Linked DNA regions of Notamacropus eugenii. The protein of the gene in region 4 interacts with the protein of the main gene of each other region in a biochemical or structural test. Links are inferred from orthologs where the notes say so. Each region holds a gene or a part of one and is shown on either strand. Other genes may lie near its edges.

Region 1 (7,516 bases), about 460 Mb from region 4:
ATCGCGTGGTGGTTTTTTATTTGTTCTCTTGCTTCTGTTTGCCAGCCAAGTGTAAATAACAATACCAGGGAGTTTTTCAGGTGCACTTTCTAGGTCTATTAGATAGGGTTAACAGAGCAGGTGTTAAGCAGATGCAAAGTCAATATTAAGTCACTCTAGGTGATATTTTAGCTGGATGTCTAAAGGCTGCATTCTGGAACACTATTGTATTTTTGTTCAAATATTTGATAATTATATTCATGAGTAAAGAAGTATTTTCACTGGTTGCCCCATAAAACTCTGATTTCTGGAACCTGTAAAATAGGATTGAGGTTAAGCAACTCCTGGAATAGGGTTGCTTAACTTTTTCCTTCATTAAACATTCTCAGACTTGTAGGAAAACTGGATATTTGGCTGAGAAAGAATGATTAGATTTAGTTACCTGGAGGTGGCCTTAATTGTAGCAAATACAATTAAACTATGTTGTATTTGTAAAACAATCTTTTATATCCCCTGACTGTTTATTTAGGAAATGACTTACTAGCTGGATAGAAGGGAGTGTTTACTGCTCTATTTCTTTCATCCCTCACCGAGGTTCTGTTAGTATTGGCCTTTACCCATGTCACAGTTAAAATGAGTAGATTATTAAGTGTGAACATAACAATGGAAAGAAGGAAATAGGAAGCTAGTGTCAGGTAGATATTTAGGACTTTCAGATATGTGAGCCTGTATTGCTGAATATCGCCCAAATTTAGCTGAGCTATTTGTACATACAGAAGTGTAAAAGGTTTTAAAGATAAGAAAGAATAAACCTTTAGCAGAAAATATACACAGCTGATGTGGCTCTTTTCACAGATGTTATCATCATGGTGGGAGTTTTCTAAAAAATTGAGTAAGTTAGTATTGCCATCATTTCTTGGAAGTTTTTAACTAGTTAAACACTGTTTGAACCAAGAACTAGTTCAGCTGAGGAATAATGGTGAGGGGATGCATTCCTGTATAGATGGGCTCCTACCTTCAGTGCCATTCGGTGGTTTCCCTTATTTTAAGTGGATTCACAGCAGGGGATAAAAAGCCAGGCAGATATCTGTTATGAGATTAAGATGTGATAGCTGCTAATAGACAGCTGAAAAGGAAATTAAATATTTCTGCTCTAGATGGAGAAAATACTTTGTGATATTTTCCTGGGTGAAATTTTGGTAGAGAACTGACAGTTACCTCGGTTATTTGTATAATTATAAATGACATGTCTCTCCAAACTGTGACATTATTTCCATCACACATGCATAATTATTATTTTATTGAGTACTATATTGAAAACATTTTTTTCTTTTTCTCAGTAAAAAGAAACTTTAGAAGGTTTTGGTTTTCTTATCCATGAGATAAAATTTGCATGAGGAAATAATTGCTTCTTGAAGAACAACTTAGCTTCCAGAGTGCCTTTTTTATCATACATTTCTTTCAAAGTTTGTGGCACAGTGAGAGAGTGAGAATAAGAACAAAAAGAGTGAGTAAAAAGCAGCAGATCTTTACACAGCATAAATTCATCTCTCTGAAACTAACATCAAGCACATGTGGACCTATTTTGAAAGCAGTTTACTGGGTTCTAAGAGAAATACTGAATCCCTTCAGAAAGAACACTTGACAAAAACAGTACAAACGGTTTACAAACGACAGACCCATTGACTAAAAACCCTAAGTTTCTGGAAAACATAAGGTCTATTTAAGTTAATTTCCTCTCGTTTTCCAAAAAGCTATTATTGGTTTCAGTAAATAAATTCAGGAAATTGGTAAAGCACTTACTCCAGAAGGTAACGTTGCCACCATCCGCTATTTATCAGTAATTATCATGATTAGCACGTTTTTTCCTTGTCCTGGCGCTGTTGTGCTGCTCACCACTTCCCTCACATGCCTGCAGCCAGTTATGTTAGTAATTGTTGTTACTAAGTTTAAATTGCTTGTACAAACAAAACAGCCTAGTTGTTTTGCAGAGAAGTATACTTACCCTCCCTCCTGCTTACTCCATGCCACAGACACGCACACACACACACACACACACACACACACACACACGGCCCTTTAACACTGACTCTCCACCTTGGAGGTAAATCTGCTCATTTTTCATTGTGGTATCCTTTTCATGCAAGCCTAGATGAGATTATGCATTGAGATACAGAAAAATAAGTGGTAGTTCAAAGAACTGTCTTTGGTGAAGCTTGTTTTGTTTATTAGAGCAAAAAGTGAAAACAGAACTTTGGTTTTTCATGCAACCATATGAATTGTCATTTTCTTACCTTCATGAGCCACTGAGTGTTATTTTCCATGATGTTTTCAAGTACTTGCAGTCTCTGCACAGAGTCATCATAATCCAATGGGGCATCCCTCTGCACTGCATTAGACACATAGGAGCTAGAAGTAGAGCGGCAATTATCCATCTCTGGCAATAGGAAGGTATAACTGCAGGATCCATGCTGAACCTGATACTGCTTCTTCCCTATGGTGTCCAGGCTTTTCCGAAAGTTGCTGTAGGCTGACGCCAAGACAAGATCATAGCTCAAAGTAAAGAAAACAATCAGCCACATACTTTCGTTCAGGGAGAATGCAGCCAACTTAGCAAACTTCAGTGCACTTAGGAGTCCAGATCATTCATTTGTCCTCTGAAATGCTGTGCTATGCTGTCATGTGTAAAGTACACTCTTGACAGTCGATGGGTTCCTGCCCCCACCCACCTTTTCTACTAGCAAATTTGATTTCAAAGCAAAACAAAACAAAATGCTGCTTTCTTTCCAGTCGTCCAGTAAACGGTGAGATGCCAGCAGAAAGAACAGTCCTACTCCAATTGTGTGTTCTGGCTTAGCTTTACAAGTAAGCTTGGGTGTTTCTTCTGTTTCTCTGGAGCAAATTCTACAGTGTCGGTATCTGAATCAATCACTTTCCTTTCCTTATATGATAAGTTGATAAGAGCAGCCAGACATGTGTAGCTTAACTGCTCCTCCCTCTTGGCTTCTCCGTTATCTTCCTGTAGGGGGGTCACTCACAAGGCAACAGGAAAATCAGAGCTTACTGCTGTCCAGCCAATACAGTATGAGAGAGAAAACCTCTGGGAAAAACTGATCAATTACAGGACCCCTGGGTATTTTATAAGCACCACCCTAACAAAGTATTTCCTAAACTGAGCACCACAGCCCTGAAGCTGGTGTAATAGTGTTACTCTTCTAAAATGTTTTGAGTTTTTAATTTTGAAGTACAATGAAAATTCCTGTTTCCTCTTTTAAGTAAAAAGCTACAGATATATCAGGACTTTGGTTTATGTTAACTACTATAAATTAAAAGGAAGAAGTTTTGCTAATGTAAACTCTAAAAGGCCCACCCTTTCATAAGGAAAACAAATTGCCAAGTTATGTGAATTCTGAACCATGAGTGTTTTGCCTAAATATACTGAATCTTAATGTAAAAATATCATTGAAGGATTGGATCATTTTAGTAAATCAGTTTACATGGGTCAGTGACTTGGCCCTGACTTGGCCCTGAAAATTTTTGTTTGTTACCAAATTATATTTGGAATATTCAAAGTAAACTTGGAGATGCCTTGTTGAATTTCAATATACCATATGTGTTTATGTATATATACATATATATTATATAACATACATATAGCTTAGAAATCATATCATTTGTTAGGAGTAAAAGACCAAACATGCCACTTAAACATAGTAATTACTTTAAAAGCACACATACCACCCACACCATTGTGTTATTTGGGATACGCCTGGTCAGATCAACTCCTCTGTCACTAACTAATTGTATGATCTTGGGTAAATTATTCCCCTTCTAAGCTTCAGTTTTTCTCTAGCTATAAAATAAGAGAACTGGTTAAAAAAGATCTCTAAAACTGATCATTTTAATGCCTACCTACTTTGGGCCAGACACTGTACTACACTAGAGCTGCAGGTTTTAAAAAAAGAAAAAGGTTCCTTCTATCTTCAGAATTTTGAGGGTCAGTAAGTCTGTCCAGAGGCTGAAGGAGTAGAATATTTATTCCATTGTACAAGATAAACAATTGGGGATTTTGTTTTTGTTTTTGTTTTTTTTTTGTTGTTTTGTTTTTTTATCTTAATTAGATATGGAGTGTTTAGAAGCTGAAGGACTAACAGATTTGGAGCTTAGATTCCTGAGATAACTTTAAAGGACTAATCAGAGGACACTGAGGGTGGGGATGGGAGGGGGGAGCTCTTCTATTCTGTGAATTCATTCCCAACTTGTTTCTCTCCGAGTTATATCTGGAGAAAAGAGATAGTTGATTCTTCCAATTATTTGGTGTTTAAATCCTACTGAGTAGTGACGGCAGACACAGTTAGAGGATAACGTAGCTATAGGCAATTTCAACTTAAGGCATCACTAACTCAATGCTCAATTCACCTATATTCATCTCCCTTCAGATAGAAACACCTACTGTTAACCTCAAATGGGCTAAATTTGGATTGGTGACCCTAATTCAAAGACTCAGGTTTTTATTCCACTACCCCCTTATCATAGACCCCCAGGGGTGTGGAAGCTGCATTCTTGAGGTTACATGTGACCTTCTAGGTTCCCCACCCCTGTGTTTCCATGACTATTCACTGGAATCGTTACTTGTTTGTATGTGTATATACATATATCTGTATCTATCATTCTATATGCACACTCACATATGTATACATACACACGTTTATACATATTGTTCTATGATTAGGGGATCATAGATCAAGAACTGAAAGAGATGACAGAGTCCATCTAGTGTGACCCTCTCATTTTATGGTCAGAGAAACTTAGGTCCAGGGAAGCAAAATGATTTGCTCAAAGTCATACAGGTACTAAGCTACAAAGGAAGGATTTGAAATGCAGGTCCTCTGACTCCAAATCCAGTATTCTTTCCATTGCACTATCGCTGCCTCCTTATGTTGTATTATATTATATATATTAGGTTAGACGATATGTAGATGTGTGGGAGCGTATATGGTGAACACAATACTAGTCTCTTACTAGTAATTGGCAAGAAAAAAAGGAATAGCTACAAAGCCAGGTTTTCTTCTCTTCCCCTGCCTGTGAGTACAGTGAAGTTTCTGAGGACTTACAAGCTAAATATGCATAGTCCAGATCTCCTTCTGGTGTTCCATAAACTTGATTGTGGGGCTTGAAACTGGCAATTATCACAGAGAATCTGAAGTTATCTCCAGTGATTTGTTGATGAAAACTAGAGGCAGATGAGATTATAAAATTTAAAAATACTCCTTCTGACTTCCCCAATCAGTCCAGGCTGCATTGCCCAACAATTTTCTTTTCTCTAGCTCTACTCTAGCTTTGAGTTTTGCTATTTATATAATCATGTTTGTTTTCTCTCATACACTACATCTAGTCAGCTGTGATTTTTGGCTATTTCCCATTATCATTTGTAAGAACATGACCAAGTTCTCTCTGTGCCTTTTATTAGCTATTAGAGAGGGAAATCCAACTTGATGGGCTCTAAAGAAATAGCCATTCCTCAAAAGAAAGGGATAAGCTAAAAACAAGATTAAGTAGGAACCTTTAGCACCTTACCTCTTTGCTTTGGCTTCTTCTATATAAAGCAAAGTTACTAAAATGTGGGTTGTAATCAAAAAGAGGGGAAAAAATGGTACAGTGGATAAAGAATCAAGAAGACCTGAGCACATCCCCAGCCATATGTATGACCCTAGATGAATCACTTAACCTTTCAATGACTCAACTCTCTAAAATTCTTAAGTGCATAGCAGTTGCTGATCTGCATTAGTTGAGAGTTTCCTTACCAGTTCTGTAAACAAAGGGAATCACAGATTAGAACCCTGACACTCCTGCCTGCCCCTCCAAGAAATCGAAGGTGAAATAATTTAAGAACTAGGATTTTGTATCACAGGATCATAGATTTAGAGCCAAAAGGGATCTTAGAGATTCTCTAGTCCACCTCCTACTTTTTTACAGATAAGGAACTGAAACCAAGAGAGTTTAAATGCCTCATTAAAATACAGCTAGAGTTTAAGGTGGGATTTGATGTCCACTATTCCTGGGTCCAAGGTTGTCATTACTTGCTTAGTCTGTTATGCCATACTGCATTTTATGATCACAGAATCTAAGAATGGAACAGGACTTGTCTCTGACCTCAACAAATCGGTCATTCAACCCTTTAGATATTTGAGATTATCATGGCCTCTGGAAGTCTTTTCTTCTCTGAACCAAAGGTTACAAGTTGCTTCTCTATTGATCCTCATATGGCATAATCTCTTCCTCTCCTCATCTTGGCTGTTATCCTCTGATCCTCTTCCAGCTTTTCGGTACCCTTCCTAAAAAAATGTGGTTGCCAGAACTGAGCATGTTATTCCTCATGTGATTTGATCAAGGCAGAATTTAATCAAACTATTACATACTACCTCATTCTGGACCATATGTTTCTCTTAAGGCTGTCTACAGTAGCATTAGCTTTTTCAGTTTCCATGTCACATTGTTGACCCATCTTGAGCAGGAAATTCATTTAAAACACTCCAGATCATTTTTGCAGCAATTATTTTCTAACCATTATGCCTTCTGCCTGTGATTGTTAACGTGATTTATAGAACCTACATACAATTTCATTTTTTTCAATTTAATTCATTCTACTAATCTATTGAGACTTTTAAAAAAAATCTAGATTCTGCCAATATGGTAACTATTTCTCCCAGCAAAATTGACAAGAATGACTTCTATGATTTGGGTGAAGAATAGATTCTTCAAAAACCTTGCACTAGAGCTTACCATCCATGTGTCATCAACTCATCAATAACTATTCTTTGAGTCTAGTCAATCAAACAATTTCAAGTCTACCTAAATGCATTATTGCCTAGATCCCATATCCCTCCATTTTGCCAAACATAAGAGACTTCATTCAGTGTTTTGCTAAAACCAAATATATCATGTCTACCTGATACCTCAAGTACGATATACCATATCAACCTGATCTACTAGCCTATAAAACTGTCAAAAAAAAGAAAGAAAGAAAGAAAGAAATTTGGCAAAGTTTTGCTAATAAATGTTTAGCAACCAGCCCTTTAGGGAAAAATGTACACCCAACACATTTTTAGATTTAACTTCCTTTATTACCGTTTTCTTCATCTCTTTCTTAAGCCTAGAGGCAGTTAGCAAAATAATAAATCGAGTCCTTGTTTCCAGGGTACAAATGCTCACAATGGAAATTTAACAGTTAGCTTTCCCACACTGATTTGAACTGGCTTCAGCACATCACTGAAATTAATGAAGCTATGCTGATTTTTAGTGACCACTGCTACCCTTTCTATGCTGTTACAAACCATCCTTTTAATAATGTGTTCTACAATTTTTTTTCAGGAGTATACTGAGTCAGGCTTACTGACCTATCCTTTACAGGTTCCATCCTCTTTCATTTTTTGAAAATCTGCATAACATTTGATTTTCTCAAGTCCCATGGCACAATTCTTGTTGTCAAAGATCTCTGAGATTGGAATCACATCTGCCAATTCTTACAAGCCTATTG
Region 2 (7,979 bases), about 320 Mb from region 4:
AGACTCATATGAGATAAGATTTGTAAAGCACTGAGTACAACGCCTGGCACACAATAGGTGCTTAATAAATGCTTATCCTCTTCCTCTCTCCCCTAGATACTGACCTGACCCTAGGCAAGTCACTTACCCTCTATCTGCCTCAATTTCCTGAGTCATTAAAAAAAGGAAGGACAAGAATATCTACCTCACAGGGTTGGTGTGAGGATCAAATAAAATTATATTTGTAAGGTACTGAGCACAGTGCCTGTCACACAGTAGGTACTTATTAAGTACCAACTTGACCAAGTGCAGTGTTGAAGTCAACTGAATGTTTGTGGCCTTCTTGGGTTTACACAGTCCATGGGGCCAGAAAAGTGGGGTGTCACCTATTGTTATGGGGATCCCCTTCCTTACACAGTATGATAAAATACACACACAGTCATGTCTCTGCTCTGCTGCTGAGGAATCCTGGGCAAATCATTGAACTGAATTAGGCCCTGATTTTTCCATCTGGATGCTAATATCCTACCTTGAATTCACATGGATATCATGGAACTCAAGTGAAACAAAGCATGTGAAACTGGTTTGAAAAATATAACACAGAAGTCAAATTTTAAATGCTATAAATACATGTATGTATATATATATGTAAATGCTATATATGTAAATATAAAGTCTGTCATGACTTACATAATTAAAGAGAATAATGCTTAAACTAGATAGTAGTAGTCTAGGCTAGATTAAACTATAGACACCGTGGCTCAGCGAGAAGAATCCTGGAGCAAGAGGACTCCGGGTTCAGATCCCACTATGAACATTGTATAAACTTGAGCACTTAGTCACTTAGCCGGTTCAGGCCTCAGTTTCCTCATCTGTAAAATGAAGGGATGTCCTCTGAGAGTCTTTCCAGACCAAACTCTATTCTCCTGTGAAAAGTCTGCCATTGCTTCTTGCTACAGACTGCACTGGTCTCTCTCAGCTCTAAATATTACTGTGGATAAAGACTTGACCTTAGAGTTAGGAGCCCTGGATTTAAGTCCTTCCTCTGATCTCCCAGTAGGATGGTGGACAAGTGACTTAACAGGTCCCTAAGCACTGCTCTAGTACTCTGAGTTACAGACAAGGTGCCTAGTAGCAGAAGTAGAGTTAAGTTTCCTCATTTGAGAGTTCCCTAGACAACCACTGGGCCAGCCCCTGTCCCTATCCCTCTAATAATCCTGCATCTGTTCAGTGTCTAGGCCTGGCTTAGAACTCATTATCTTTCTCACCAAACCCATCCCATCTCCTAATTTTCCTGTTCTGTTGAGGTCACCACCATTCTTTCCATGACCCAGGTCCTCAACCTAAGAGTCATCCTTCACTCTCACTTATCCTTCCCACCCCCATATCCAATTAGATGCTGAGTTTTGTCAATTCTACCTCATCAATACCTCTCCTATATGTCCCCTTCTCTTGACTCATACTACAATCACCCTGGTCCAGGCCCTCCTCATCTCTCACCTAGACTATAGCAATACCTCCAGAATGGTTCTCCCTGCAAGGGAGGGAGGCAGCTATATTGCACATGGATAGAAAACTGGGCCTGAAGTCAGGAAGTTCTGAGCCTAAATCCAGCCACACACACTTACTAGCTGTGTGACCCAGGGCAAATCACTTCATCTGTTTGCCTCAGTTTCCTCATCTATAAAAAATGGGGATAATAAAAACACCTGTCTCCCAGGGTTGTTGTGAGGACCAAACATGATAATGTTGAAAAGGGCTTAGCAGGGTGTTTGGCACATAGTAGGTGCTTAATAATTGCTCATTTTTTCCCCTGCATCCAGTCTCCCCCAACCCACCCTACCATCTTAATGCAATCATCTCAGAGGCTCTTTAATCCAATCTCCTCATTTTGCAAATGAGGAAACTGAGACTATGAGAGACTAATTTCAGAACTGAATTTTTAAAAGGCAGGAGGAGGGTACTATGTGTTCATTTACAAAGGTTTCTGTTCAAAGCAGGCAAAAGGTAGAAACTCTGGATAGCCGAGGTGGAGGCCTGCTTGTATAGTGTAATGCGGATGTGGTCCTTGTGTTTGTCCTGAAGGGAGGCAGAGTAGACATCTCTAGCCTCTCCTCCCCTCATCCTTCTCCAAGGGAGACTTTATTCCATCCTCCTCAAGCTGTCATGCTGATGTTTTCTGACCATGGCATTCTTGTGCTCAAGAATCTTGAGTGGTTCCTTCCCTTCGAGATAACATACAAATTCTTCTCTTTGTCATTTAAAGTCCTTCACAGTCTGACCCCAGTCTCTTTTTCCAGGATGATTGCACATTACTTTCTCTCATTCTGAGCTCCAGCCCCAGTGGCTGACCTGCAACAACTCATATACAAACCCCCATCTCCCACCTTCATGCCTTCAGCTTGGAGTGAAATGATTACAAAATAGCCTGGTTTAAAGAGACCTCAGAGGCCATCTGGTCTAACCTTTGAACTGCCCCCCCCCCCCTTCCCTCCATGCCCAGCAGGTTCTCCTTGCTCCCCTCTGCCCCTCTTCAAGGATCAACTCCTTCATGAGACCTTTCTTCGTTCTCCAAGGCTTTAGCTCCCTCCACCCTTCAGTCCCCCTTAACTGTGTTTATTTTGTATACCTCTTGTATTTACTCATCTCTGAACAGGTAGCCTTCCTCCAATTAAAACCCAAGTTCCATGGGGTCAAGGACTGTCTCACTTTGTATCCTCAAGACTTTGCCATGCAGGAATAAATTAATAAATGTTTATTGATTGGTTGGTTGGTTGGTCACCCTTCACAGAATCAAAGAATGATAGAATTTCAAAGAGAAAGTAGAAAGTAGAGTAGTGGATAAGACTACTGGACCTGGAATAAGGAAGACCTGCATTCAGATCTGTCCTCAGACACTTAACGACCTTTGTGACCCTAGGCAGGTCACTTGGCCTTCATCTACCTCAGTTTCCTCATCTGTAAAACAGAATTAATAATAGCCCCTATTTCCCAGAGATTTTGAGGGCCAAATAAGATGATAATTATAAAGCACTTCGCACAGAACATAGTTAAGTGCTATACACATGCTGTTGCTGTTGAGCCATTCGGTTATGTCTGATCCTTTGGGACTCCATGGATCATAACGTGTCCATACTGTCCATGGAGTTTTCTTGGTAAACATACTACAGTGGTTTGCCATTTCCTTATCCAGTGGATTAAGGCAAATGGAAGTTAAGTGACTTGCCCAGGGTCATATAGTTTGTAAGTGTCTGAGGCCAATTTCAACTCAGATCTTCCTGACTCCAGGTCCAGCACTTTAGCCACTGAACTACCTAACTGCCTCCATATAAATGTGAGCTATTATTATTATTAATAAGATCAAATGAGATTTTGTAAAGTACTTAGCACAATGTCTGGTGCGTAGTACTGGTACTTAATAAATGCTTATTTCCTTCCTATAAAGGGCCTTAGAGATCACCTAATCCAATCCTCTCTCTCAGATAGATGATAAAATTGACCCTCAGAGCAGTGTAAAGTGACTTGCTCAAAATCACACAAATAGAAAACAAAAGAGCCAACTACTAAACCCAGGACTTATGACAAGTCCAGTCTTCTGTCCACCAAATTCCTCAATATACAGCATTCTACATTTTTTTCCCCAAGATGGTCTTTTGCAGACATAACTGTATTTGTTCCTCATCCAACACACCTGTGAAGGAGGCAGGGCAGGGATCACAAGTGCCCTCATTTGACAGAGAAAGAAACTGAGGCCTTGATGAGAGATGAAGAAACTGATGCCCAGAGTGGAGCAGCGATTCTCAGAAGTCAGACTCAGAGTGTTCTGTGACCTCCCCACTTCCCTTTCTAGTGAACCTCTCTGGCTCCCTCATTTCAGTCTCCCATCCCCACAGCTGGGAGCACAAACTCTCTTCACAAAAGACTGTGTTGTGTGTGACCATCGTGGATTAGCCAAGGAATCATCTTCTCCTTAATGTCTCTTTCTGTAACCCTTCCCAGGTCCAGCTGGTCCTGATCACACACTGATTTCCTGGGTTGTGTCCATGGTGTGAGGAGAGGAGGGGAGAAAGAGCTGGGGATCTGACCTGGGGTTCAAGCCTCTTCTCTCCAAATTGTTTTCTCCCTACATAGGGAGGGAAAAAAAGCCTCCTTCCCTCCTCCCCCCTCCCCAAATATTTTTTCTTGGGGTCATTCCAGCTCTGGGCCAATAGGTGGCCAGCCAGATTAATGCTAAGCAAGAGCAGGGTAAAGTTGGTGGTGGGGTAAGAAAGCCCCAGAGTGGTGGTGGAGGAGAGGGAGAGGTTGTGTGAATAGGGGAGAGTGAGGTTGGGGGGGAAGGAGGGAGGGGAGGGGCAGGGAGGTTGAAATTTGAGCTCTGAGCTCTGGGAGTGGAGTTGGGGGAAAGAAAAGAGAGATTTGGGGTTGGTGTTTGTGAATTTTTTTTCTTGCTGGGATGCGGCGTTGGGGGAGGCTGCTAGACAGTTAAGAGGACTTATAGGGGCGGAGAAGAGAGGAAGAGACTGCAGAGCAAGGGAATGAGGGAGGAAGGAAGGGGAAGATGAGGAAAGAATAGAGGTGAAGGGAGGGTGGGGGGAAGAGGGGGAGTGTGGAGGGGAGAGGAAGCAGCTTCGGTATTTAGAGCGAATATAAATAGCCTAGCTGTGTGGTTCCCAACCACAGCCTCCCTGAACATTTCAGCGGGCAGGGCTCCTCAGCTGTCTGTCTGTCTGTCTGTCTGTCTGTCTCCTCATTCTGACCAGGGACAGAAGACAGCAGCCTGGCCAAGGGCAGAGGAGACCCAAGAAAGGTTTTTAACTGTGCCACCTCCCTAACACATACATACCTCTACATACATAAATACACACCTACTCATACATATATACACACAAACACATATATCAATACACACACACACACACACACACACACACACACACACACACACACACACACACACACACACTCCACAACCTGGGAGGCCCTGAACCAAATCATGAAGACCAGCACCTTCTTCCTAGTCCTAACCACTGTGGCCACAGTGAGCACCCAGCGGAGGAGGGCCGAGGGCAGTGCCCATCGCCGGTCCCACCGGGTCCAGCACGGTCAGTGCAGCTACACATTTGTTCTGCCGGAACCTGAGCCATGCCCATCAGGGCCAGAGGCCTTTGGCAGCAGTGCCAATACCCTACAGCGGGACTCCCCAGCAGAAGCACTTCGGGGGAATGATTGGTCAGTCCAGAGGGTGCAACAGTTAGAGCGCGTTCTGGAGAACAACACCCAGTGGCTACTGAAGGTGAGTTGGGGGAAGGGCAGGGAGGGGGAGCCTGCTTGGAGGAGGGGGGGGGGGCACTGTGGCCCCTCGAGGACTTGGAGCTGGACTGGGAAGTTTTAGGGCCCTTGGAAATTTAGATTCTCCTTCTACAGTCAATAATGGATAAAAAAATCAGACAAGAGCAAAGGGGAAAGAATAATCCGTAGTCATCAAATGTCAGTGATGGAAGGGTCCTTAGGAGAGTCAGTTTGGTGCAGTGGAAAGGAGACCTGGGTCCATTTGGGTCCCCATGCTCCTGCTTCCTAACTTTGGGCAAGTCCTTTCCCCTCTTGGAGCCTGAGATGCTCTTTGCAAAATCAGAATTTGGAAGGAAGGGGAGAGACATGACAGCTCCCAGAAAGTATGTGGAGGCCTGTCATATAGAAGATTCAGCTTAATCTGCTAAGTTCCAGAAAGGAACTATGAGATCAAAGGGTGGAAGCTCCAGAGGCACAAATTTTGGTTTAATATAAGAAAATGCCTTCTAACCATTAGAGCTGTCTAGAAGTAGAAGGGGGGGGGGGGGGGGAAGAGAGAGAGAAGGGAGGAGGAGGGGAGGGCAGGAAGTGAAGGGTATCCAATCATTGGAGGTCTTCCAGCAGAGGATCCAGGTCCACGTGTCCAGGAATTCTTGCTCAGGTATAGGGTAGACAAGACAGTATCTGAATTCCTTCTAACTTTGCGATTCTGTGATCCAGGGATTCAGAGTTTCTGTGATTCTTAAAGTGCCTAATGATTCCCATCGTACCAACTTCCCTGGGTGATGAGGAGAGCTTTGTAAACGTGAAAGCAGTAGAACCGTGAGCTATTGTTGGCATTACTGCTATTGACATAAAGCATAGCATTAGCGCTATCAGAGACCTTATAGGGTATCTTGTCCAAACCCTTGTTTTACAGATGAGACTTGTCGAACCCAGAGGGCAGTGACTTGTTTAAAGTCACATGGGGAGTCGGTGGCAGAGCTGAAGCTAGAAACCAGTTCTCATGTCCCAGCTTGGGGCACTTTCTACTACATCCTGATCAAATAGGATCATTTAGATGTTTATTTTCTTCAATATAGTCCCCAAGGTTTATTTACAACACTTCACTACAACCCTGTGAGATACAGTAATTCTAGGATTATTAACCCTGTTTTACAGATTTATAGCAATGGGATTTTTGTCATTTTGTTATTCAGTTTAATACAATAAACATTTATTAAGTACCTGCTATGTAGTAGGTCCTGTTTTCAGTGTTGGGAATACAGAGCTAGATGAGATACAGGCCCTGCTATAGCCAATAGAGTGCCAAGTTCTTGAGCCAGGAAGACCTGGGTTCCAATCCTACTTCTGGACCTGGACAACTAACTCCTTTAACCTCTCTGAACCTTAATTTCTTCACCAATAAAAGCAGGGGGGAAGGATGTTTAGACTAGATTGCCTCCAAGTTCTCTTTCAGCTCCAAACTTATGATTCCTATAATCCAATTAGGGGAAGATTTAATACACAAATAAATAATACAAGGGGGGAGAGAGATAAGTGCAGAGAAGAGAGCCAAGGAATCTGCTCTGTGGAATTTGAGACAGGAAAAACTCTGGAGTAAGGTAGGAGGATTAGGGAAGACTTCATAGAGGAAGTCACACATGAGTTGGGTCTCAAAAAAAAAATGGAGGGAAACATAAGGTTATAATCACTTGTCTATAAATGAGGCTCTGGGAGGGGCAGGGGTCTGGTGGGGACCAGAAACCTAGATTCTTCCTACATATTCATTGCAGAGATAGCACGGTATCTCACCTCTGCTACTTATGGCTATGTGGTCATTGATAAGTCCCCTGTCCTCTCTTCACCTCAATCTCTTCATTGCAAAATGAGGTTAACCCTTTTAGTGCCTGCTTCACAGAACTGTTGTGAGACTCTGGTAAGATTGCATATGTGTGATCTTGAAGGCTTTATAGCTACTACATCAAAGCCTCCACTTACCTATTCAAAGACCAGTTATTAAGTATTGAACATATTCAGGACACTGTGCTTAGCAGCAGAGAAGTTAAAAAAAATCATCAGAGAAGTGGCCCATGGACCTTCCAATATAACCACGGGGCATAGGACACAAACACAAATATACAAGATTGTACAGTGATTCTGACATAGAATATCATAAGAGAGATTCAAAGAGGCCTTTAGGATGGAAAGATCATTTCTGATTGATTAAGGATGGAGTGAAAGGAGAAAATTTCAAGAAGCAGAGATGGAGGTAGAGAGGAAATAAGAAGTAAAAAGACATTTTAGGCATAAGAAACTGATTGAACAAAAAGGAGGGGGTGGGAAAGTGAGGATATAGAAAATGACTTTGAGTGGTTCATGGTGGGGAGGAATAAGAGGTGAAGCATGAAAAGTATCTCAGAATCCCAACTGCATCTTAGCATTAGAAGGTGCTTAGAAGCCACCTAGTCCAAATGACACCTATAAACATCCCCAAAGAGACCTTTTCTTGAAAACCTCCAATGATGGGGAGCTCACTACCTTATTCAATAGCTTGTTTCACTTTCAGATAGCTCTAGTTTCACAGGATAGCCCTTCAAATACTTGAAGACTCCTATCCTGCACCCACCACCACTACCAGCACCAAGTGTCCTCTATCCCAGGTTAAACATTCCCTCCTACTTTAGCCATTTTTCACATGATAGGACATACTATAAATGAATAATTAGTTG
Region 3 (8,122 bases), on a different chromosome or scaffold from region 4:
TGACTCCTTAAGTCTGGAAAGGCAAGCCAAAGACCAATTGTGAAGGATTTTATGTGCCAGGATAAGGAATTTGTTTATTGGCCTATAGCCAGGATTCTTAATTTGGGCTCCGTTGGTAGATTTCAGGACTTTTCAGTCTTCATCAAGATGACTAAACTGCCTCAGCATCTGAGACCTCTGTATCCTGGGAAATCTATTAACTTCTTACCCTGGAACATCCCTCTGCAAATGCCAGTAGCTTTCTCCCAGTGGTAAATCCTCCACACAGCCTTCATTTTAAGGAGGTTCCCAGGCAAGCCATTCTTCATGCTTCTCTCAGTTTTCCTCCTGACTTTGCCACCATTTTGCTTTTCAACTCCTCTTGTGTGTTGTCTTTCCCTTTTAGAATATAAACTCCTTGAGGGCAGGAACTATATCATATTTTACTTGAATTTGTATCCCCAGTACTTAGAACAGTGCCTGGTATGTAGCAATTAAATAATAAGTGTTTGTTGCCTTGACTTGTCATAAGGGGATCAGTGAGTGTAGATGGAGAGGAAATTACATTTTTGTTTTAATTAAATTGGTTTCCTTTCTAAGTTTTTGTAAATATTTTTCTGAGACATATTTTTTTTGTATTTTTTTTCTGAGAAGGGGTCCATAGACTTTACCATACTTCCAAAAGCATCTGTGACATACAAAAGATTAAGAATCTCTGACCTATAGGTTATAATAGGGAATCATTTAAGATTTTTCAGCAGAGAAAGGACATATCAGATTTTGCTTTAAGAATGGAGGGGGAGCCAACCATATATATACCTAATAAAGGCAGGAATGTTGCTAGGCAAGAGAAAGATGATAACCTCACCCCCTAGATTTGGTATTTGTTCTTATGTCTTTCTCCCTCTAATTTACTTGCATGGAAGAGCAAAAGAATTTTGAGGCTGGAGAAGGAGGGGCTGATCTTGGATCCATTAGGCTTTTGATCATTTAGGGAAGGTAGTACTGCAGCTAAAGACTCCAGGTTAATCAAGAAGTTAGAAGCACAGCCAATTCTACAGCCTCATGTCCACTGCAGCTGGGCCTCACAGGGACCAGCAGCAACCATGGGACCACTTTTGGTTCCATTAGGCAACTACCACATGAGACCAGGAAGGAAAAATGCCCATCAGAAACTACATGCCATATCTACCTGTTCATCAGAGACTAGGTAAGCAGCCAAGACTACACATATGGCAGAAAAGACACATGCATCAGAAAGAACAAGGTGGAGCAAGCCCAGTGCGGGTAGCATGACAATATCATTGGAATACATTCATGACTCTACAGCCCTAGTTCCACCTCTGAGCCTTGGTTGGCCACACTTGTTCTTTGACTGTGTACCATGTGTTTCTTATATATGTCTCTCCTTTTCACATTAATGATGCAGTGTATTTAGGAGAGTCTGAACCAGATTTATGGGTAAACTACTCTATTGCTTGGCACCCTAGTTTTAAAAGTTACCCTAATTTTGTTGAAAGACTTTTCCTAGAACTAGTTGTGTCCTCTGTATGACCAGAGAAAGAAAGCATGGTGATGGACGCTTGTGGGATATGCTCTTGAAAAGATACTGCGTCACAGAAGACTTTAAGACTTATTTGGGGAATCCACAATAAGAACTGAGGTGCCCCAAGGCATTACAGCAAGATCATTTTCGCAAATGCATGGAAGCTAGACTAGAGAGGGGAGAGGCTGGGAATACAGCAAGAACAGGAAATCAGAGGCTGATGAAATAGTTTAGGTGAGAGGTGTTGAGGATTTGAGGTGGGTGGTGGTTGTATGAATGGAGAGGAGAATAATGCATGAGACAAGTGTGGAGAATCAAGAAGACTTGGTGACAGTCACATCTTCAAATGGTCTGAGTGTTTCCTCCCTTGAAAACTCAGCAGCTGGGGATGCCTCTTTTTGGAATAACCATTTCCTATTGCACCATACTGGGAATTTCCCACTTGTCATTCATTCAGATAAGACAAATGAATACACACAAAGATGTGAGCACACACAAACACACACACATATACATGCAAGAACTGACGTAAGTATTGGCTATTTAAATACATGAGAGAATTATAAGTGAGGAATATTGATCATCCTTTTATCCTCTGCCAATTATTTGTTGGATTTTGTTCTTAGCAAAGCACTTATAGGTGTTAGCTTTGGAGTCTCCTTTTCATGAATAACTTTCAAAGCAAAGATTATAAGAAAGATTTCTTAGAAAAGCTTTGCTTTCTCATATTATTTTTTGAATTTGGGATCTACCTCTCCCACCCCAAAAATTAATCATAGGATCACAGATCTAGAGCTGAAAGGGATTTTAAAGGTCACATAGTATAACCTCCCAGGAAACTGAGACCAATAAAGGTTTAAGATCATAAAGTAGTGAATATCAGAGGCAGGATTTGAATATAACACTCTGATTCTGGGAGGCAGCTAGGTGAAGCAGTAGATAGAAATCTAGGCTTGGAATCAGGAAGACCTGAGCTCAGAGCCAGTCTCAGGCTCTTATTAGCTATGTGACCCTGGGCAAGTCATTTAACCTCTGTTTGCCATAATTCACTGGAAAAGGAAATGTCACACCATGTCAGTATCTTTGCCAAGGAAACCCCATAGACAGAATTGGCGTGCTGTGGCTACAGGTTACAAAGAGTTGGACACAACTGAAAAACAATCGTGATTCTGGAGCCCAGTGCTTTTTCTGCCACACTACAATTCCTGGAAAGAAGGGGTTTTTTTGTCAAAATACTCTTAACCTTTGCTCTTTCAGGTAGCACATACACTGCTTTAAACATGAAGGTCTGTTTGCAAACAGGAGACTATCACTTCATCCAGCCTGAAAAATTTCTGTGCCTTCTAGCACCACAATACAGTGATAGTTCTTGTTTATGTGTGTGAAATTTCAGTAAACAGGAGACAGAATAAAGGTGTTGCCAAGGATAGTAAAGAGATTTTTACTGCCATAACTGCTTTATTTTTTTAAAATGTCACGACAACTTCTTTCTATATTGATTGTATCTCCAAGGATTTGTTTGTTAAGGAATGATAAGAAGGGATAAATCCTAGTACCAATTTCCCAAAGCATGGAGTTTGACTGCTATTCCAGATTTAACCCTTCCTTTACACAAACTATCCTTACACTTTCACACTTACCCTAGACCTGGAGTCAGGAAGACCTGAGTTTAAATTTGACCTCAGACACTTCTAAATTGTGTAACTCTGGGAAAGTCACTTAACCATGTTTGTTTCAGTTTCCTCATCTGTAAAATGACCTGAAAAAGGAAATGGCAAACCACTCCAGTATCTTTGTCAAGAAAATGCCAAGAGTCAGACATAACCACTGTCATTACCTCCCTTCTGCTTCTTCTTTCTCCCCTTCTCTCATCTGAAGGACCTAATTATTCTGTTGCTTACACAAAGGGCACCCTATTCTTAAGATATGGTTGCAGTTGTGGTGATGCATTGTTTATAAATCCTTTAAAATCCTGGGATCACAGATTTAGAGCTGTCAGGAGCCTTGGAGTTCATTTAATCCAACTATTTGATTTTTATAAATGAGGAAACTGGCCCAAGGAGGTTGTAACTTGCCCAGAGTCACAGAGGTAATGAGGGGTAAGCCAAAATTTGAGTCGGGTCCCTCTGATTCCAGAAACTTCACTTTCCACTGCATCATACCCACTAGAAGCATGGTGTTATACCAAATCCATTTTTCTTACATGCTGATTAAAATTCCTTTAGTATCACTTGTACTTTACATTTCACTGATTATTATTTGATTTGGAAAGCTTATGCTCTATCTTCTTGGAACTTTTTTCATTTAAAACTTGTTCCTTCATTAAAAGGTGTATCTAAGTTCTCTTGCTACTGAGCTGTAGCCCTTCTTGCTGTAAGATCTCTGGAGAAGAGGTCACTACAGCCGTAATGAGGATTTATGTGGAACTTGGATAGTAGAGCTAGGGAGAACCATAGCAACCCCCAATGAGGTCTTTGTGATATACATGATTAGGACATACCACAGGAATTAATAATTCTTAGGACACTCTCCTAAATTGTTACCACATTGTTTTTGCAAGGAAGTTGCTTCATTTATGTACACAGAACAAAGAAAAACTGCCTTCTGAGTAGGCAGTTTCTTAAGAAAGACACCCCCCATTTCCCTGCCCCCCAAAGTCCACAAAACCCCACGGGGGGCTTATCCTATTTAGCATGCATTGGGGAGGTGGAGAATTGAGGAACAAGACATAAAATCATTTAACTCTTTATACTCGATTTCCCACGGCCCCCTCCTTCCCGTTTTCTTTGGCATCTGAGAAAGCTTAATACGTTCAAAAGGCTAAACTTTTATTTAAAAAAAATTATGAATTTAAAACATCTTTTCTTAAGTTAACAAACTTTTGAAAATAATATAATTTAATAAACATTGTCCAAAAGGATTCCTCAAGCGTAGTGGAAGAACTTTTCTTTCAGCGCTCCCAATATTTAACTGGAACTTACAAGATACTTCCAGAATGCCAGGTTTTAATAGGTCGGGGCTGGAACACCCAAAGTATATTAAGGTGGACTGCTGTATGCTTCGATTCTCTGAGAGTCCCTGAAAGACTGAGCGCTGCTTTTCGAGCAGGAGGGGCTGGGCGGGCAGCTATACATGATTGAGGTCATGCGCATCCAGCCAATTTGTAAGACGATCCCTCCCGCACTAAGCTGTCGGCAGTCCTTAGCATAGGGGCACACTCAGGCATTCCTGTCAAGTCATCTTGTGAAAGGCTGCCTGCTTCCAGCTTGGCTGGAAAGCGGAACCTTAATAAAACTCACTGAGGTCGGAGGGAAAATAGCAGTCCGGCTGCAGATAGGGTAGAGGCAAGGGGCTAGGATGTGTACATGCTGCTGGCTACAACAGGCTGAACAGTGCTGAACTGTTACACAGAAAGGAAATAATAAATCTCCGCTACCATGCAATAAATATCTCAACTTTTAACGAAGGGAGCTATCATTCCAGTGAAATAAAATTGAAAAGTTTTTTAGCTAAAGCTACCAAATGAATCGTTTTCTAGGATTCTTCTTTCAGAGCTGACTTCAAAAAACCACCCAAAAGCATTTTTTTACATGCAATAAAAAAAAAAAATACTGGTTAAAGGACGAAGGAAGAAGTAACTGGGGGGTAGTTAAAAAAAAACAAAACTAAAAGTTGTGCCAAGGCAGACAAGAAAGGTGCTGATACCATGACAGTTTTCCTCTCCTTTGCTTTCCTTGCTGCTGTTCTAACTCACATAGGGGGCAATAATCAGCGGAGAAGCCCGGACAGCAGCGGGCGAAGATACAATCGGATTCAGCACGGACAGTGCGCCTACACCTTCATTCTGCCGGAGCAGGACACTAACTGCCGAGAGAGCACCACGGATCAGTACAACACCAACGCGCTGCAGAGAGATGCTCCTCTCGTGGAACCGGATTTCTCTTCCCAGAAACTGCAACATCTGGAACATGTGATGGAAAACTATACTCAGTGGCTGCAAAAAGTAAGTGCTTGCTTTCAGTTTCTCATTGTACTCGAGTCCTTTATCCAGGCTTGCCCTGCAGATAAGTTAGTTTGCTCAGTGTGGTGGGGGAGAAGGGGGGGAGCGGCTGGGAAGGGAACTTTTGTTTACATGTTGCTTGGGGGAAAGACAGTCGCTCAAGTAACTGCAGGGCTGCTTTCTGTATGGGACTTCCTTAGCAGGGGAATCAGACTGTTCCAGCTTGTCCTGGCTGGCGAAGGGGGGTTGGGGGTGGGGAACGGGGTGTCACAGATCTTAGAGTTGGTGAGTTTACAGAGATTTTAGCCCAGGTGTGCGCGGTCCCCTCAGAGCTGTCAGTGATGGCACAAGTATGAAAATGTGCTTCTCATTTAGGACCTCAGAATAAATGTCACCAAAACATGCCTCCATGTTCTGACTGTCAGCACCTAAATTGAAGAGTAGTAGCTCTTAAGAAGAAGTTTTATTTTTTCGGGAGTGGGGGAATGACTACAAACTCTTCTTTTTGGAGTGGAGAATGTTGATGGAGGAAAAGCAAATCCACTTCACATCAAATCTCTTTGAGCACCGGCAAGGAAAAGTGTCATAAATTAACTTTTGACTTACCACTAAATAAGTATAAAGTAAGAATGTTTGTAAAGTGTAAATAGTGAAAATTGCAAGTGTTTAATTTCTAGAAATGATCCTAAAGGGTAATGTAACCATTTCTGTTCTATGATAATTCTAGACTTGAGAAAACAGTAAGATCAGAGATTTTAAGATAGAAGTCATTAGGGGTGGGTTATCCACCCAAATCTTGAATGGATAGTCAAGCAGCTATTGGCTGTTAACTTACCAGTGCACCTGCAGAGGATGGGATGCAGTACCTATTCAGTTCTTCAATCCTGGAGAAATGAAAAATATTTTCTTTTTTGGCACAACTGTTAGATATACTTCTACTGAGCAAGATTACAGAGTGTTTGGATGACAAGATTACACCTTTTGGGGCAAATATTGACTGAAATTATTCCAGTTTTTAAAATCATATTGAGTCAGTGGACATGTCTAGACAGAAGGTTGGCTACTTGAGGGTCTTAACTGAAGACACCTCTCAAATAGTATCACCTTAATGGCTGTGTCTCATGCTGTGGTTTTCCTTGTGTGGCAATAGATGATTTTTACTGAATGTGTGAGATTGGCCATATCACTGTCTCCAGGTTTCAACAAAATGTGTTCCAGCATCTAGGCATTTGGCTTTACAATAGTTATGTCATCACTTAGAAAACAGAGATCAGAATGCAACCAGATTTCTCAAACCAAGTTAGGTTCAAAACATTTGAGCAGAAAAGTGATGGAAAAGACAGAATGCTATTGTGTGTGTGTGTGTGTGTGTGTGTGTGTGTGTGCATGCCTGTGTGTATCTGTGTCTGTGTGGTCACACTTCCTGAGTAAACTGCTTTCTCCATCATGCCTTTGAGGTTTGTTGTTCTGCTTTTCTCCACTAGGGACTGAACTAAGATCACTGTTTCTTTTCTTGGCATGTAAAAAAACCTCAAAGTAGGAGACCTAGGATTTTAAAGTCTGGAATTGAAACTAGTTCTCATCCCATACAAGTGCAAATCAGCAGGCCACAGGTGACAAAAAAAAAAAAAAAAAGTTGATGAAGAAAGAGAGTAGTGATTTAAACCATTCATCATTAATAATCTTCATATAAGTTTCAGGCAAAATCTCAAACCAGCCTGAATAGAGAAGCAGCAGTGATCCTTCTCCAGTTGTCTCCTGGTTCAAGAGGGAGGCCCACAGTAGGCAAATGAGTTTGACTTGTATAGTATCCCAGTTATTAATATACTCTCCATATATTCTTTTATTAGAATTGGTCATTGTAAAAGTATTTTCTGTTACCTGTTCTTTAAAAAAAAAGTGCATTTTTTTGCTTGGAATATTTCAAAAATAGGTGTACTATAAACAGCATTGGGCATGATGATATTAACATAGTAATGTATGTTTTTGGTTCTCTGCATTTAATAGCAATCAGGGTAACTATTAGTAGACCACAGGCTGAAGATTCAAATTCAGCAAATAATTCCTTTCAACAAATGTGTTTTGCTTTCTGTTCTTTTGCAACAGGAAAAGTAATGATTATATGAGAAAACAAAATATCAACACACATTTGCGGAAACCTGTTTTTCATAATATTATTCTATCATTTGGACATGTGGACCACCTAAGCGTTAACATGTGAATTTTGGTTATCATACCAATTCAAGTGACATTAAACACATTTTGTTTAGTAATTGATCATGTCTTCCTTTTTACTATATTTTCCAAGCATAACCTATAATTTTGAGGAATGATGCATATGAATCTTCTCTTTCAAACTTACATTTATTCAGAAAATATATAAAACTTTTGGATGTATTCACCTTTAGTTTATGTCAGTAAAATTGTACCTTTACTGAAAATGTTTCTGCTATGACTCTAGCAGCTTCTCTGGAGTGTGGTGGGATGAAATTTACATTATAGCTTGTCATTGTTAATTTAATTGAATGGAAGATCAAGCAATCACCTAAACGCATCCAATAGACCCTAATGAGAAAAAAAACTGCTTAATGCTAGGA
Region 4 (7,951 bases):
CTGAACCACCTAACTGCCCACAGTCAGCATGGTCATGTTCAAATGGAAAAACAATGCAATAACTAAGACTATGCACAAAAACTCTAAACAGGATCCAAAATCAGTGTAATGGTAATTTGAATTGAAAAATCTTTCCTATTCATTAATAGGCCCATTAAGTCACATGGAGCCTGTGGTGGGAGGAGTTTGCTAAATGTATGGAGCAGGAGCAGAGCTGAGAGGAAGGATGCAGGCTCCTGGGTAGCAGTGAGTGATTTTGTGATTCTTCATGATTTTGTTTAAGAGACCCTGTTTGTGATGAGTGTAATGGACATGGTTTATGGGAAGCCTAGCAGAGGAAAGGCTTGGAGATGGTATTGTCCTCTGCATTCTTACTGTGTATAGATTTTTGTTGCTGTGATGGATTTGGGTCTGAATAAATGTTCTGCCTTCTTTATAGAGAGCCTGTGGTATTTCGTAATTCTGAATTGCACCCCAGTATTCATGACTGCTGTGGGTGCTATGAATATTGCATTGGCACTACAGTCAGTCAATAAGTATTATTAAGCCTTTACTATGTGCCAGGTACTGTGTTAATGATGGGGATACAAAGAAAGATAGTCTCTGCCCTCAAGGTGTCCATAATCTAGTGGAGGAAATAATGTAACGATGTACAAACAAGTTCTACACAAGGTAAACAGGAAATAATAATAGTGGGAAGGGACTAGAATTAAGGGGAACTGCTACAATCTTCCTGCAGAAGATAAGATTTTAGCTAGGACTTGAAAGAAGAAGACAGGGAAGCCAGGAAATGGAGATGAGGAGAAACAACATTCCAGGCATGGGGAACAGATTTTTTTAGATTCTTTCCACTCCACACCATGGGCAGTTAGGTGACACAGAGTGGATAGAGTGCCAGGCCTGGAATCAAGAAGATTTATCTTCCTGAGTTAAAATCTGGCATCAGACACTTACCAACTGTGTGATTAAGCTTAACCCAGCTTATCTCAGTTTCTTCATCTGTAAAATGAGCTGGAGAAGGAATTGGCAAACCATTCATTATCTTTGCCAAAAGAACCCCACATGGAGTCACAAAGAGTCAGATGCACCTGTAAAACAACTGAAAAACAACCACCACCATCACATCTATTCCTCTGCATGCCCTACTGTGTGTATATACATGTGCACACACACACATATGTACATTCAATGAGAGTAGAACAACATGAATCTCTGTTAGTAGCAAATAAACCACCTCCCCTGGTACTATTGTTGGAGGTATAATACAAATGTACGGTGGTTATTCAGCAAATGTAGTTTGTAGAAAAATATTATGTGATTCCAAGTGTGCCTGGATTGTTACTGTTATGCCAGAGCCAATTCAGGATGATTCCAAGTCGGATCTTTCAGGAGCTGGCATTTAACAGTGTCTCTAATAAGCTTGCTGTTTTAAGACAGTGATGATTGTGGCATCTCCCAAGCACAAAAACTGGAAAATGGCAACAACTCTGGAGTCAAAGGACCAGGGCTCAAACCTTGCTTCTGTTGCTTATTTACTGTGTGACATTCAACAAATCACTTAACCTCCCTGGGTCTTAGTTTCCTCATCAGTAAAAACAGGGTTTGAACTGAGGTCCTTTCCAGCTCGACATCTATGAGCCAATGGCCCTTCTCCATTTCCTTGAAAATTTTGTCGTGATCTCTGATTCAGTGACTTTCAGTGCTCTGGCTATGGAATTGATTTCCTTAAAGGTTGAGGGGTGACATTCATATTATTGCATGTTGGCACAATTTCTACACTTTGTAGATTTGTGAGGCAGGAAGCCAGAGGAAAACTGACTATACTCTCCTTTGATTGCCTTCCCCTCCCATAAATGATTTAGCTCTCACACGGTATAGCACATCCAAGAAAACATCCTTCGATTCTTAAGTAAACATGCAATAATAACACTAATAATCATCACTAATATTCTTCAAACATACAAAGCCCGTTTGGAGAATTTCTGGAAGATTTCAGAAGAGGAGGCATGATAGCACGTTCAGGCTCCAAAGAACTTGACCCATTCTAGGGAGTGTTAATAAAACTTACTTCCTTGTTGGCATATGAAAAAACAAACAAAGGAAATTTGGCCTACTGGGTAGAACAGGGGCTAGGAGGCAGGAGTCCTAGGGTTTGTTTATTTCTAAGTCCTTCCACTGCCTCCCTATGTGGCTTAGAGCCAGCTCATCTCAGGACATTTCAGTTCCCTTATCCTTAAAATAGAGAGCACACTTCTGACCTCCTAACCTTTCATAAATGCTATGAAGATGCACATTACAAACATATTTGTACCTTCTTTGAATTGCTCTTGGAAAGTACAGTAGAAATATCGTTAATGGAAATTTAGGTACTTTATTTTCTCTTTATGGTCCCAGAACCCTAAACAACACCCCAGAATTAACCTCAGACAAGATTTCATAGTATCTTAACTTTCTTTACCTTACTTTTCTTAACCTTGCTTTGGTGAGCCTGAAAAAAAGAGGCATAAAGAGCTTATGCCTTATTTATGCTACATATTTTCTCTCCACTTAAGTTATAGGCATCCTCATGGAAATACTATTTTATCATCAGGCTAAGACTGTCATTCCTGCTTTCACTAGGTGTTTTCATTTTAAATATCCAAATAGGCTATTGTATTTACTTTTTGACTCTATTTCTTCTGTTCACAAATTATTAATCCAATTTTAAGCTATGCTTTGATGTTCTTATCTCTGACCAACCACCACCAACAGGACAGGCAAGCCAGCTTAGCTGAAGCAGCAAGACATCCTGAGGAAGAGACAGGAAACAGCATACAGCAGATGGGTCAAGCAACCACTACCACCTTGAGCACCATCCCCTTGAAATCAAGTAGAAACAGAGCTCGAAAGCCCCAGGAATTTTGTTGCCCCTCCCCACCAGAAAACAGATTTCTATTGTAAAGGCCACAGTTATCACTGAAGGAGATAACTCTAGTGCAAAGTAGGCCAGTCATCCCTAACGTTACTAACAATTATTGAACGAACTGCTGCCAATGGATAGGTAAGCCTAAGAGCCCCAGGAATAGTGATGTCCTCTAGACCATCAACCCTGCTACCAGCCTGGACCCCTCATCTTCCAGGCAAAAATGTAGCTGTGACCTATTAATTGCCTCTATAGGTGCTACATCCCCCACCACCTCAGCAACCATAGCTATTGAAGACTGAGAAAATATGTTTTGTCCACCTTAGCCTTTTAAAATAATTCAGCATTGGAAACAGATATAGTTTTATCACTCTCCTACTATAACCATCTCCTTTGCAATTACATTCTAAAGACTATGAAGGCAACTAGGTGGTGCAATGCATAGAATTCTGGTCCTAGAGTCAAGAGGACCTGAATTCAAATAGGGCCTCAGACACTTCTCAGCTTTGTGACCCTGGGCAACTGACTTAACTTTTTCCTGCCTCAGTTTCCTTAACTATAAAATGGGAATAATAGAATAGCACCTACTCTTAGGCTTCTTGTGAGGATCAAATAAGATGTTATCTGTAAAATGCTTACCACAGTGCCTGAAACATAGTAGGTACTTAATAATGCTTGATCCCACCTTCTAACTTATAGCTGAAACCTCCTGTGTGTGTTGTCTCCCCCTATTTGAATGTGAGATCCTTGATAGCAGGAACTGTCTTGTTCTTCTGTTTGTATCCATAGCACTTAAAACAGTGCTTTGAACATTGTAATCACTTAATTTTTATTCATTCATATGGACTCATTTTTCTTGTATGTTTGTAACTTATTTTGGATTTCCCTAGAAAATAGTGGCTTATAACCACAAAATCGATTGCACAAATTACCTTGCTCCAGGACCTAAAGAGCCACAAATGAATTTTAATGAAGATTTAAAATACAGCTCACAGCACTGGTATCCTTAAGCGTTTTTCCAATAGATACAACATCTGATTAATGGGCACTGTGGTGATGTAGAAAGTAGACAGACTTTGGAGTTAGAGTATGTAGCTTTGAACCTACTTCTGTCACTGCATGAGTGACCTTGGGCATGCTGGGCATACCGGACTTCTTTGGGTTGAACTAGACGGTCTCTAAAGCTCCACCCCGCTCTAAATCCTGTGATTCCTATGACATCAGCAAGTTGTAGGGAGAAAAGGGAGGATTTGTGCATCATGTAAACTTTGGAGCTAATCTAAAGGCTACCCAGACTGATATCCCCACCAATGACAATTATATTAGATTCAGATAGGATTCCATAGTCTCAGCATATAAAACTTCTTTTCAAATTTAAACCATGTGGAGCCAAAACATGTTCACCACACCCCAAAAAAAGCCTTTGCCAGGGAGTTAAGTGAACAGTAAGGGCCTTTGGGAACAGCGAACAACTGGAGAAGAGATGACCATCATCACATACCATACGTAGGTGGAGGGCTTGTTATTTCCAGGATCCTGCCTACCAGAGGATGCTCCCATTGTTTCTGACAATGCTGACCGTGACCCATTACTGGTTCTCTAAATACAATTCTCTACCCCAGAAGCAGGAGCAGAGAAGTGTTTTGATGTATTGCAAGATGGACAAGGCTTGCGAAACCTCCCAGTCCTGCTGATACCAATTGCCTTTAAGATCCAGCCTTTCCTATCCTAATCTACAAAGGAAACAGGAAAAAGGAACTTCAACTCCCTGTGCTCAGACAGCAATGAGACTGTTAGAGCCTGCTCTAGTGCTTCTCTTTCTTGCCTCTAACGTGTAAACAAGATTCCCTAGAATATGCCTGTGGAAAGTCACAAAGACCAGGGTTGGTGAAGGAGCATTGGGAACCCATGTGTGGCTGTGGAAACTGGATGGAGAGATTTGGAAAAGCATGAACTCTTTAGCCCGATTAGTTCTTTATGGTGTCAGCCTGATCATTTCAGGTAAGGTTTGTCTTTACTTAGAGAAATGCTGAATTTTCCTGGAACTTTCCCACTGAATGTGATTTTCAATTGTCCCCCCACTAATTTAGCTGGAAGTATCTGAAAGTTGTGCCAATTTTCTGTTACATTTAAAATTTTTAATAAAATCGGTGAATATTAAAATGTAAGACATTTATCATGCCAGTTAATTTTTTAGAGTGCTGTTCTGTCCTAAGGGTTATAATAGATGGTGTTCCATTTTTGGTCCTTTGAATAAACTCAGCTAATGTTACATAGCTTTCGCAGCAACCACTTTTGTAATCTTTTAGTTAAAGATGCATCTACTTGCCTCTTACAGGAGCTTGAGAGATGGAAAAAGAAAATTTTCAGTGATAAATGCAAAAATAATTTAAATTCCATTCTGAGCAAAACAACTACCTTAAGGTTGAGAGAAAGTTATAATCATTAAATATGCATAGAAATTATTAGATCTAGGGTTTCTGTTTATTTCTCCATATTTGACCATAGCATTAGTAAAAAATTGGTTTTGATTTTTGGTGATGGAGGTTTATAAACTTTTCATTTAAAACAATAAAAAAGTCCACATTTCAATTTATAACAATTCTTAGACTGTCTATACAGATTAAAGTGAAAATTAGGCAATTATTCAGAAAATTTAGAGGAGAGGGACAAACACATTACTTTAAAAAAAAAGATTGGTTTTTTTTTTCAACTTGGATTTTCCAAATGAGCTGCATTGGATACTCACATTCCTAAGATATTAGGCTGTCTCTGCACATCAAGTTGCCCGCATAGACAGCCAGAAAGGAATAAGGAAAATCTGATATGCAAATCACAGATGTTGTAAGCCTCAGTAATTTTTCTTCTTTCTGAGAATGAAAAGTAAAATAGGATAAAAAAGAAATTTTATAGGATTGAAAGTTACTATATGGGAATAAAAATTACCCCAAAGAGGTGACATCATAATTTAACTCTCTGTTTTCTGAGTTCATTCTTGGTGAATTATTTTTAGATGAAATTTTAGGAAAAATTAAAAGGCCTTCATAAAGAAAATTATAAATCCATGAAGAAAAAGAAAAATTTACACAAATATAGGCATATGTATGTATATCCATGTATATATACTTATGATATATGCAAATATATAACATATATATATATATAAACTTGTTTATATGCACCCATGTTAAATGTCATATTCTTACAGTCATACTCAGAATCATTGATCCTTAGATGTTATAGACAATTATGGCCATATGTTATGACAAGCCACATCTTCAAAGGCCTAATCACTATCACCTCCTTCCCTCCCTGAGAGTATCACTTTATAAAAAAAAATGAACTTCGGCTAGAGAGGTTATTAAAGTTTTCTGTATGATGGATCTCCTTGGTAGTTGAGTGAAGCCTATGCCTTCTTCCCCTCCCCCATCCCAGTATGATGATTTTAAATGTATAAAATGAAATGCACATTTAGGTGAAAATAAAAGAATAGGGTTTTTTCCCCCATCCATGTTCAAAGACTGCCTGAAATCCATCCTTGGATCACAAATTAGGAATTCGAGGTTGACTGGGAGTAAAGCATGGTGTGAGGCACCTGGCCAAGGCAAAAATCAATAAGACATAGTTCTTGCTTTTAAGAAACTTTCAGTCTAATAGGAGGAGACGTGGATGCAAACAACTATGATAAAAGATAAAAAGTCAAAGTAGACAGAAATCTTCAGAGAATGGGCTCTTTGACTTTAAAGGAGGGTAGAATCTCTTCCAACTAGGCTTCAGAGAAGGGGTAGCTTTTGAGTTGGGCCCTGAAGAAATGGTAAAAAGTTAGTCAGCTGGGTTTATGGAAAAGAAAGAGCATTCTGCAGAGGGAAATATGAGTAAAAACATGGATGAGGGAAGCATTGGCTATCCTTTGGAAATGGTGTGTGGTTTTGTTGGTGTACAGCATAAATAAGGCATTATAGGAACGGTTACAGGAGACAAGATTGGAAGATCCAAAGTGGTCTTTGAACTCCCACTTACAGAATTTGTGTAGTACCCTCCTGAGCTATTCTCCAATGTGTAAGTGAAAGGGGAATAACTTTTTTTTTTAAGTACGAATGGGTCAACTGGAATTTCATGCTGCAGATTTTCAAGCTACAGATTCAAACCCCTGAAAATTCAAGAGGCGAATCCATATATCTCATAGTTTTTCTTATCGGTCTGTTATTTCTTTTAATTTCATGAAGTGGATTTTGAGGACTCAACATCCCTGGATCAAGGCCTTCTCACACCTGGTGGAGAATGGGAACATGTCTCTATGCATTGACAATAAGACCTGTGATTTAGAAAGCAATATTCAAAATAAATCAGACTGGAGAGAGATGGGAAGCACTGAAACCAGTGAGGAGACCTCAGCAATGCTCCAACACTGAAATGAATGCATTGCCTTATGGATTTGGGAGTTTCCTATAATGACATGCATCCTAACCCATCTATGGCTACCCATTTTGTAAGACCTTTGTCCATGCTCCTCCCTAAGTCAAACATTGGGACCTACTCAACATTTGGGAGGCCTTCCTCACTTTCTCCTGACACTGTAAGCGTATCAGTGGAGCATTCCAGCTCTTCACATTTCATGTTGCTCCTGAAGATTCTTTCCTGTCATACATTTCCTTGAATACATCTTTGCTGTTGCTCTTTGAAGTTCCTCATTGGTTAATATATTGCAGCTTGATTACTCCCACCATGGACCTCTACATTGCCGTCTGTGTCATATTCATTTTTAACCTTTCTTAAACTGTTATGTTTCATGTCTTGTTGTCACAGAGCAATGCTGGTAGAATATTTAAAAGATGGTCCTTTGTTTCCATGGAAAGTCTGGGGACACTAAAGGACTTTTTTTCATTTCATTTCAGCCTACTTTTCTCCTTTTTAACTCCAGGCCCAATTCATTGTCCATTCTCTGTCTCAGATATACATCTTTAAGGACAAGCTCTTCAGGTTTCCATCTAAATACATTTGGGAAAATAACATTTTTCATCCACTTGATTTTTCCTGTGTGGATAGTCA

Evidence for each region.
Region 1: the proteins of TEK (region 4) and ANGPT2 form a complex in vitro, tested with the Homo sapiens proteins (7 studies listed by BioGRID and IntAct, with this or other methods). The link is inferred for Notamacropus eugenii from reciprocal best matches to the Homo sapiens genes TEK and ANGPT2.
Region 2: the proteins of TEK (region 4) and ANGPT4 form a complex in vitro, tested with the Homo sapiens proteins (2 studies listed by BioGRID and IntAct). The link is inferred for Notamacropus eugenii from reciprocal best matches to the Homo sapiens genes TEK and ANGPT4.
Region 3: the proteins of TEK (region 4) and ANGPT1 form a complex in vitro, tested with the Homo sapiens proteins (6 studies listed by BioGRID and IntAct, with this or other methods). The link is inferred for Notamacropus eugenii from reciprocal best matches to the Homo sapiens genes TEK and ANGPT1.

Annotation. Positions count from the first base shown.
Region 1 is NC_092872.1:574,682,644-574,690,159, forward strand, and holds the start of ANGPT2 (angiopoietin-2), read right to left. Parts: upstream 3,001-7,516; 5' UTR 2,562-3,000; coding exon 2,274-2,561; intron 1,890-2,273; exon of another isoform or gene 1,807-1,889; coding exon of another isoform or gene 1,783-1,806; intron 1-1,782. UniProt on the Homo sapiens protein: Binds to TEK/TIE2, competing for the ANGPT1 binding site, and modulating ANGPT1 signaling. Can induce tyrosine phosphorylation of TEK/TIE2 in the absence of ANGPT1.
Region 2 is NC_092872.1:432,577,524-432,585,502, reverse strand, and holds the start of ANGPT4 (angiopoietin-4), read left to right. Parts: upstream 1-4,598; 5' UTR 4,599-4,972; coding exon 4,973-5,272; intron 5,273-7,979. UniProt on the Homo sapiens protein: Binds to TEK/TIE2, modulating ANGPT1 signaling. Can induce tyrosine phosphorylation of TEK/TIE2. Promotes endothelial cell survival, migration and angiogenesis.
Region 3 is NC_092875.1:142,145,738-142,153,859, forward strand, and holds the start of ANGPT1 (angiopoietin-1), read left to right. Parts: upstream 1-4,595; 5' UTR 4,596-5,231; coding exon 5,232-5,528; intron 5,529-8,122. UniProt on the Homo sapiens protein: Binds and activates TEK/TIE2 receptor by inducing its dimerization and tyrosine phosphorylation.
Region 4 is NC_092872.1:117,272,944-117,280,894, forward strand, and holds the start of TEK (angiopoietin-1 receptor), read left to right. Parts: upstream 1-4,670; 5' UTR 4,671-4,851; coding exon 4,852-4,903; intron 4,904-7,951. UniProt on the Homo sapiens protein: Tyrosine-protein kinase that acts as a cell-surface receptor for ANGPT1, ANGPT2 and ANGPT4 and regulates angiogenesis, endothelial cell survival, proliferation, migration, adhesion and cell spreading, reorganization of the actin cytoskeleton, but also maintenance of vascular quiescence.